Linked DNA regions of Callithrix jacchus. The protein of the gene in region 1 binds, or shares a complex with, the protein of each later gene. Links are inferred from orthologs where the notes say so. Each region holds a gene or a part of one and is shown in the gene's direction. Other genes may lie near its edges.

Region 1 (4,124 bases):
TGAATATACTAAAAAAAATTCAATGCTTAAATATACAAATATGTACAAATATTACTTAACATTTTATGGTATATGAATTACATCTCAATAAAGACTTTTTTTTTCTTTTTCTTGAGGCTAGTCAAGTGAAGCAGTGGGAGTGGAGAAGGAACAAAGAAATCTGTAACTGGTTGCGATCAATTAGTTGTAAACACCACTGCACTTGGACCAGCCAATAAAGATGCTTTAAAAAAAAACCCGAGAGTGTGACTTAAAACACACATTTCCATTGTTTTTGAGTGGTTTCCAATGAGCTCCTTGCACATCGCGTGCCTGCGGTGACCTCCTTGCCCATTCATTTCTTATTCAGTCCACATTCACAGAGTCCACTGTTGGGCCAGGCACAGGGATAGCAGGGGTAGGACCCAGCTCCCAGAGGATGAAAGACAGGTAAAGAGGAATGAATGCTTGTACCTGAAGAAGCACTGATTTTTTGGGTTGAGGCTTCCAGTGACTATGCTGCAAATTCGAGTACTAAAAAAGTTGATGTGATTTCAGTATTTAGAAAAATACTGAGAAAAATACGCAGTGTTTTTGTTTCTTTTAATAAGTTACAGGGAGTCACAGACCCAGTCTCAAAGCTTCAATTTCAGTAACCATTTATCCTTTCCAAGTGAGTTTTTGCATACCAACACATAAATGAAACAGAATTACAAAATAAAGTTAATGCTGAAAAAAAAAAAGGACCTTTATTAACATTAGCGCCGCCTCACAGTATCTATTTTAACTCCAAGCTATGCTCCCGGCTTGAAGCCCGCACTGGCGCTCCGCTCGGTCGAACCGGGGTAACGCGTGGAGGTGGGTTCGCACATCCTCTCTCCACTTCTTTCGACCTTGGCCCTTTCGCAGGTCCCGGCGAGCTGGAAGCGCCTTTCCCGAGCCCGGGCGAAGAAGGGGCCGAGCGGGGCGGAAGGACTTCCTGCGGCCAAGGGCGGCCGCCTTCTCCGCAGAGACTACAGTTTGGACCCAGATTGGACTCAGCGTTTGTGGTTCGCGAGGCGGAACACAGGGCACGCTCCGGGCCCCTGCCCGGCAGAGCGCGAGCGGAGGGCGGACTGGGCCCGGGTGGGCGAGTCACGTGCGGCCGGGAGCGGCGCCGCGGGCCGGGAGTGTGCAGGAATGTAGCAACTTGCAGCGAAAAGTTTCCCTGCGCGGCAGACTGGGCCGCGGTGCGGGCGGGCGCGCAGAGGAAGGAAGAGCCGGGAGGCGGGGCCGCGGCGGCGCGGGCGGGCGCTTCTCCCAACTTTAGTTTTGGCGTCTGAGGCGAGTTTCTGTCTCAGTCGGGCGCAGCCGCCGCCAGGGAAAAGAAAGGGAGGAAGGAAGGAACAAGAAAAGGAAATAAAAGAGAAACGGGGAGGAGGGGAAAGGCAACCAGCCGTCCGGCCTCAGTCAAGGGAGTTGGAGGGAAAAAGTTCTCAGGCGCCGCAGGTCCGAGTCCCTCGCAGCCCCTCCCGAGGCGCAGCCACCAGACCAGTGGAGCCGGGGCGCAGGGGATGCGGGGCCGCAGCACAGTCCCCCGGCCCTGAGAGCTAGGAGAGCGCCGCTCCCACCGCCCAGCCCGCAGCCCTCGCCGTTTCTCCACCTCGGCCCGTGGAGCCGGGGCGTCCGGGCGGAGCCTTCGCTCGCCTGGTCCGGGGGTGCGCATCGGGGGAGGCAGAAGCCATGGATCCTGGGCAGCAGCCGCCGCCTCAAGCGGCCCCCCAGGGCCAAGGGCAGCCGCCTGCGCAGCCTCAAGGGCAGGGCCCGTCGTCCGCACCCGGGCAGCCGGCACCCGCGGCGACCCAGGCGGCGTCACAGGCACCCCCCGCCGGGCATCAGATCGTGCACGTCCGCGGGGACTCAGAGACCGACTTGGAGGCGCTCTTCAACGCCGTCATGAACCCCAAGACGGCCAACGTGCCCCAGACAGTGCCCATGAGGCTCCGGAAGCTGCCCGACTCCTTCTTCAAGCCTCCTGAGCCTAAATCCCACTCCCGACAGGTAACCTCGCCGCCCCTCTCCCAGCTTCCCCGTCGGGCGGGCCCCAGGCTGGGGGGCGCTCGGGAGTCGCGGCCGCCAGCTCTAGCCAGGGGAGGGGGGGTTGCGGGAGGTCTTGGGTGGGGGTCTCGCGGCGAAGTGGAGGAACTGGAGGCGTCCCCTTGGCTGCGGTGACCGGCTCCCTACTCTTCCCAGAGTCCGGGGCTGAGATTTGTTTTTCCCCTCTGAGTTTCTCTCTGCGGTTGCAGCCCCGGCGGGCGTGCTTTCCCTCTTCCTTCCTTTCTTTCTTCCCGGGGTTCCCGGGAGGTTGGCGGGAGTGGCGGGGGTGTGGGGAGGAAGGAAGGGGGTGGGGAGAGCCGGGCCTGGGCCGCGGTGGGCTTGCACAATGCGCGCGCCTCCGCGCGCTCCGCAACTTCGCTCCCGCCGGGGCCGGGCCGGGAAAGGGGGAGGGGGGCCTCTGGCATTTGTGTGTGGGTGAGTTGCCAGCGGCGGCCGAGTTTCTGAAGTTGAGCCCTGGGCCCCTTTCCTTTGGGGCCTCTCGGTCCACTTCAGTCTCCTGGGGAGTCAAATAATTGTTCTCTTGTTTTCCAATGTTGATTAGGGGTGGGGGTTGAACCGGTCCATTTAGTTTTTTTGCTCGCTCTTCCCCCCCCCGTTTCCCCTCCCCCTCCCGTAAGCTTTTATTTTCTTCGAGGCTCAAGCGCTTTTAGAACACAGGTTTCGGGCTTTCCCTGCCCAGACTTTCCTGGAAGTTGTTTATGGAGTTCTTTCACACCCCCCTGTGCTTCCCTTGTGTCTTGGAACTTGGGCCGGCTCGCTCTTATCAAACTTAGTAGGTTGCGTGTTGGTTTCCCAATTGTAGACTATTATTTACAGTCGGCTGAAACGCTTTTAAATTAGCCACATCTGTACGTTGCGCAGGAACTGAGTTGCACTTTACTGTACCGACGTTTTAACACAAGCCTTTGATAATACACTGCAGGTTGACCCATAGGCCAAGTCCTGCCTAGTTCAACTGTGATTAAAAGTTAATGTTTGGGAAGCGATGACTAATTCTGGAATCGCCATTGCTTTATAATTCTTATTGCGGATATGAACATGGCTGCTTTTCCACATACACAACGTTCGATCATTTTGCCAACTTGATTCAGCATAGAAGTGAAACTATTTATAATGAAAGTGTTAACATTCCGATAGGTCCCCGTGGATTTGTTTAGGGTTCTTTTTCTTTCCTTTTTTTTTAGAAAGAACTTGCTTGAGGCTAAACTTGAGCATAGGAACTTTGCCCAAAAGTTAATAGATTTTCCAAATACTGCAGTGTAGTTAGCCGACTCGGACTGTAACTTGAGTGGAAAGAGTTACCGCCCCCACTCCCATTCCCTCTCCTATTTGCAGGCCTGTTGTATATTCTCCTGTCGGGTTTTGGAACTCAGAAAAGCTCACTTAACCTGATGACAAAAACCCGGGTTAAGGAGGAGGAAGGAAAAACAATTTAGCTTCTTGCCTAAACACTTCAATTTGTCAGAAGTAGACTTAGGTGTGCTTTTTTCTCATACCCCTGAAAGTGGGTTTATGGACTCATTATGGGTAAATACATGTTGGCATGCACCTTACAGACAGTGTATTTTCAAAGTATAATAGACATAGATTGAATCCCCCATTTTGTGGCATCTATCAGCCACAAAGAATCATAACTGGAAAGTGTACTTTTTCTTCTAGTAATTTTTACGTGAATTTCTATCCAGCAGTTCTAAAATTCAGAGTATTATAGTTTTATTTTTAATAAGTTTTTAAGTGTTGTGCATCTGTAAATTCGACTTTTATTTCTGCTAACGATTTCCTAAATCACACTTTTTCTGATGGGAAACAAAGAAAGGTCCATCACTTAAAGGCATGGATATGACTCTACTAAGTCCTTCCAGTTTCCTTACCTTTGTGAATCTAGGAAATTCTTAACTTTTTGGTAATCAAACTCTAATTCTAATTTTTAAAATTTAGATATGCAAGATTAGGAGTAGAACAAATCTAGGTTGCAAATACTATTATTCACAAACTGGTGACTAAGTTTTATGTACATCCATTTTTGTCATGAAAACTGTTTTACAAAC
Region 2 (4,323 bases), on another chromosome or scaffold:
ATAAATAAATGCCATCTATAGGTTTAAAAAAAAATTACAGCTTTAAAATATCAGTTTATAGCTCCCCTCCCCGTTCAGGATCCAATCAAGGTCATATACTGCATTTCATTGTCATGCTTTTTTTTTTTTTAATAGCTTGAGGAAAATTCACATATCAAATGATTGACCCATTTAAAGTGTACAATTCAATGGCTTTTGGTATATCCACAGAACTGTGCAACCATCACCAGAAACTAATTTTAGAACAATTTTGTCACCCCATGACCTTTAGCTGTCACTCCCCAGGTTCCTCAATTCCTCAACCCTATGCAAACCAACAATCTACTTTCTGTCTCCATAGCCTTGCCTACTCTGAGCATTTCAGATATGTGGAAGAATACAATGTGTGGTCTTACTGTGTTATCTTCTTTCACTCCACATGTTTTGAAAGGTTATCCAGGTCACATGCATCAGTATCAGCACTTCATTCCTTTTTATGGCTGAATAATGTTCTCTTGTATGGGATATTTTGTACTGTTTATCAAGGGAGAGTTTTCAACAGGGGAGTGGCCTAATCTGAGTGGCATTTAAGAAGGTTCACTTTCCTGTTGTTCCAAGCAGCAGAGAATGACCAACTGCATCAAATGCTGCTTTTAGGGAAAATAGGATGAATTCCACGAATTGACCAGTAAGGGCGCAAATAGTTTAAGGAAAAAAGGAATTTACTATACATTGATATATGTTAATGATACACTGGATACACATGGCTGGGAGTGATGTTTTTTGCTTCATGTGAAATTTATTCCTCAAAAAATTATTCTTTTCTAAACGTCACTCAACGTTATGGTAATTATCCAAGATTTTATGCAGCTTCCAGAGAGTTGGCCAAGAGAAAAGTTGACTCTTGCAAGAAGATACTTTCAATGTCCATGCAGATCAGGTAGGTAAGAGTTAAGTTTGTTTTCGGGGTGTTGGCATCATCTAAAAGACTGTAGAAATTGGACCAAAATGTAGAGTTCTAAAGCAGTATCTCCTTGTGGCATGTTATTATTTGGAGCAACAAGGTTACCTACTCGAATCATTGTATCCTGAGTTGACACAAAACCCATCTGTTGACCCAGGGTTTGTATAAGCACGTGCAGTAGTTACTAGCTAACCACTTCTGGGTACGTTCAGCTTCTGGTGCCTGCAAATTATTGGAGAGTGAGTAAGGGACAACGAAAACTAGACATCAAAGGGCCAGTCTCGAAAGATAACTGTCAACATGCATTCCATATTTACAGAAGAGTTAATGAGCGTTTCAGAAAATAAACACATGGAGCATCGAAATTCACTTGCAGATAATGCACCAAGTCCACTCTACCGGGACTAAAGAAGGCAGGGTTAGGAAAGCCAGAACGCCGCCACGCTGTTTTTTCTCCAGGAATAAACGGAGCGTGGGGCTGGGGGTGGAAGGGGGTGACTCGGGCCGCTCCCCCTCGCCGTCCTCCAGCCCAGGCCGCGCTGCGCTCACGCCGGCCGGGCCGGGAATTTGGAGAGGATCCCTGGTCGCTCGGCAGCGGCGGCGGCGCGCGGGTGAGCGTGTGAGCGGGCGGGCGGGCAGGCGAGTGCGCCGGGCATTGGCAGCCGAGGAGTGGAGGCTGGGCGGCTCCGACTCCCTGACGCCAGCGCGACCAGATCAATCCAGGCTCCGGGAGAGAGCGGGCTGAAGGGCGGGCGGAGGAAGGAGAGGCCGAGCGGCTCAACCCGGGCCGAGGCGCGGGAGGGACCCTGGGAGCGGAGCGCGGCGCAGCACCAGGCCGGCCTGACCGGGGCCGCGGGACCCCGCTCTCCCGGCCACTCGTGCGCCCGCGCGGATGGGCGCGCCGCCAACCCGGTAAAACGAAACAGACCCGAACCCAACTTTCCCTTCATGCTGCGTCCACGCCTTCCCCTCGGCGCCCCGGGCTTTCCAGAGCTGACGCCTCTGTACGCGTGGGGCCGCCGCGGTCCTGCGGGGCCGGGGGCGCGGACGGCGGCGGGGAGGGGGCTCTTTCCGCGCGGGGCGGACCGCGACGCCCCCACCCCCCATGATGGCGCCTCCCGGCTGCTCTGAGGAGCGAACCTGCCACCGCGTCCTCTCCTCCTCGCGCCCAGCCCGCCAGGCTCCCCCGGCGTCTTTGTTGGGTCTTCTGCTGTGGGAAGCTGAGTTCCCGGCCCCCTCTAGCCTCGGCCCTCAGGCCTGACCGCGCCGGGACCTCCCCAGCCGCGCTCCCTCTCCGCGCGCTCCTCACATCTCTCCGGTGCTGCAGCCGGGCCGAGGCCAGTCCGCGCGGCCCCGGGCCCATTGTGTCCCCGCGCCGGCGGGGCGACCCCTGCGGGAGCTGGAGAACGGCCGCCGGCGCTGCCTTCCCAGGCGCCTGGAGGAACGGGTCTCGTGGGCGGGGGACCCTGGCGCCCCAGACCCCTCCACATCCCGCACGGGTTTCCTTCTCGGCCCTAGCGAGCCTCTTTGGGGTCGAGGTCAAGGAAAGTTCGCACCGAAATCCCCTCTAATTTATTCAAAGGTTTGGCCGCGGCGCGTAATTTTTTCCTCCTCTTCCGCCTACACCCGCTTCGTCTCCTGGTGTCTCATTCCTTTCCCTTGACCGCAGTCGATTGCCTCACTGCATGTGTATTCGTGAGTTCGCGTTGAACAACTGTTCCTTTACTCTGCTCCCCGTCTTTGTTAGTGTTTCTCGGGGTTGTTTCTGTAGGAAGGTGGGGGTGGTGGGCGTGAGAGACAGACGTGGGCTTGTTTTTCTAGTTGCTGAATCTGTAAGAAGGCTTTAAAGGGAGAACGTTTCCTTGATGATGTGCGTTAGGAGGGGAGGAGGAACAAATGCCTGCCAGATCTCACAACTACAGTAGCTGCGCTTTTGTTTATTTTGAAGCGCATGCAATTTTTAAATAGACGGTGCAAGACAACCAGTAAAGACGCGTTTCTGAAAATTGAGACCGATCTCAGAACCATCTCCTGGGAAAGCATCATTTTCGTGAGTGCCGAGACAACTGTCCTTTTTCTACGTCCCCCCCCCCCCCGCCCGCTCCCCAGTCTTTCTCTCCTTTCCACTGCATCTGAAGTTTCAAAGTACGTGGAATGATACAGAAGTTGCATTTCTGTTGTGTCTTCCTGTTGCTGGAACTCTCAGCTGCTAAATCTCAGAATGCCTTTATTTCAATAAGAACATCTTTGGCTCTAATTGCCTGTTGCGGGTAACTTGCCCACATTTCAGTAACACAGTGAGAAAACTGTTCCCTGCCCATGTTGATTTTTCATCTTGTTTGTAATTAAATTGTATTGAAGGTAGGTGAGCTGTATTAAAAAAGAATCGGGACAGAACCAGTGTTTACTGCCCCAGCATTTTCAATTGGTATAAATATTGTTGCATCAGTGTTATTCTGATGTAGGTGCCAGATCTAAATATGCTGTACTGATTAAAATGTTTGTTCTGCCCTCTCCCACTCTCCCATTTTCAGTTATTTGATATTTCTGTGCAGGTGGTGTATCATTGGTGGTGTAATACTGCAATTCTTAGTAAAGTTTAACTAGGGTTGTGAAAGATGATTTTTCTGGAGGTGGGTGATGCCAGAGGCTCTAGAGGATCCAGGAAGGATCGGGTTTCTTCTGAGGGTAGGGATTTGTCCTTGATTTAGTTTTGACCCCTGCAACCATAGGTATGTAACCAAATACATTTTTCCTCTTGCTGTATCCTTTGGTTTCATATCCTTGAAGAGCTGATGATCTTTGTGTTTTAGAGAAATGACAGTTTTTAGGCAATTAAAAAAACATTGACCTCTAAGACTTCTTGGAATTTAATTTTATTTCTACTAAGTTTAGTAAGGCAGTAAGATGAAGTAAGTCACATTTTCTCAACTGCATTTGTTACATTTATTAGTTAAAAACTAAATTTCACTTTGTAATTTCGATTTCTAGCAATTCTGGGTTAAAGATAAAATCTAATAACTTAGTAGATTGAAAATAAGAAGTAACTTGGGTGTAATTAGACAAACATGTTTAAGCTGCAGTAGCCTCCATAATCAAGGCCAAGTGTGTGTGTATAACAGATCTCATTTGTGTAGTCTTACAAAGCTAATGGAAGCATCACTGAGGCTTTATAAATAATGTAAGTTGTGTATAATGTAGAGTCTCCAGAGACTGCAGAGAAAGCATCATTACCAGGCTTTTCAACCTGCTTGAGATCTTAAATTGATTTACAGCACTGAACTAGTGCAAAATGATACATCAGGATGACATGGGGTCAGCCTGTAAAAGTCTATGATGTCAGCCTATTAGTTCAGTCATCATAATTAAACCATATTACA

Evidence for each region.
Region 2: the proteins of YAP1 (region 1) and SMAD1 are in contact, whole or in part, in an NMR structure (PDB 2LAW), measured with the Homo sapiens proteins. The link is inferred for Callithrix jacchus from reciprocal best matches to the Homo sapiens genes YAP1 and SMAD1. Residues at the interface, in NP_001123617.1 of Homo sapiens: Glu237, Ala239, Met240, Thr241, Tyr247, Ile249, Asn250, His251, Lys254, Thr255, Thr256, Trp258; in NP_001003688.1 of Homo sapiens: Thr222, Pro223, Pro224, Pro225, Ala226, Tyr227, Leu228, Pro229, Pro230, Glu231, Asp232, Pro233.

What each region holds. Positions count from the first base shown.
Region 1 is NC_133511.1:37,540,056-37,544,179, reverse strand, and holds the start of YAP1 (transcriptional coactivator YAP1), read left to right. Parts: upstream 1-1,317; 5' UTR 1,318-1,701; coding exon 1,702-2,019; intron 2,020-4,124. UniProt on the Homo sapiens protein: Transcriptional regulator with dual roles as a coactivator and corepressor. Critical downstream regulatory target in the Hippo signaling pathway, crucial for organ size control and tumor suppression by restricting proliferation and promoting apoptosis.
Region 2 is NC_133504.1:51,521,821-51,526,143, reverse strand, and holds the start of SMAD1 (mothers against decapentaplegic homolog 1), read left to right. Parts: upstream 1-1,469; 5' UTR 1,470-1,554; intron 1,555-1,654; exon of another isoform or gene 1,655-2,993; intron 2,994-4,323. UniProt on the Homo sapiens protein: Transcriptional modulator that plays a role in various cellular processes, including embryonic development, cell differentiation, and tissue homeostasis.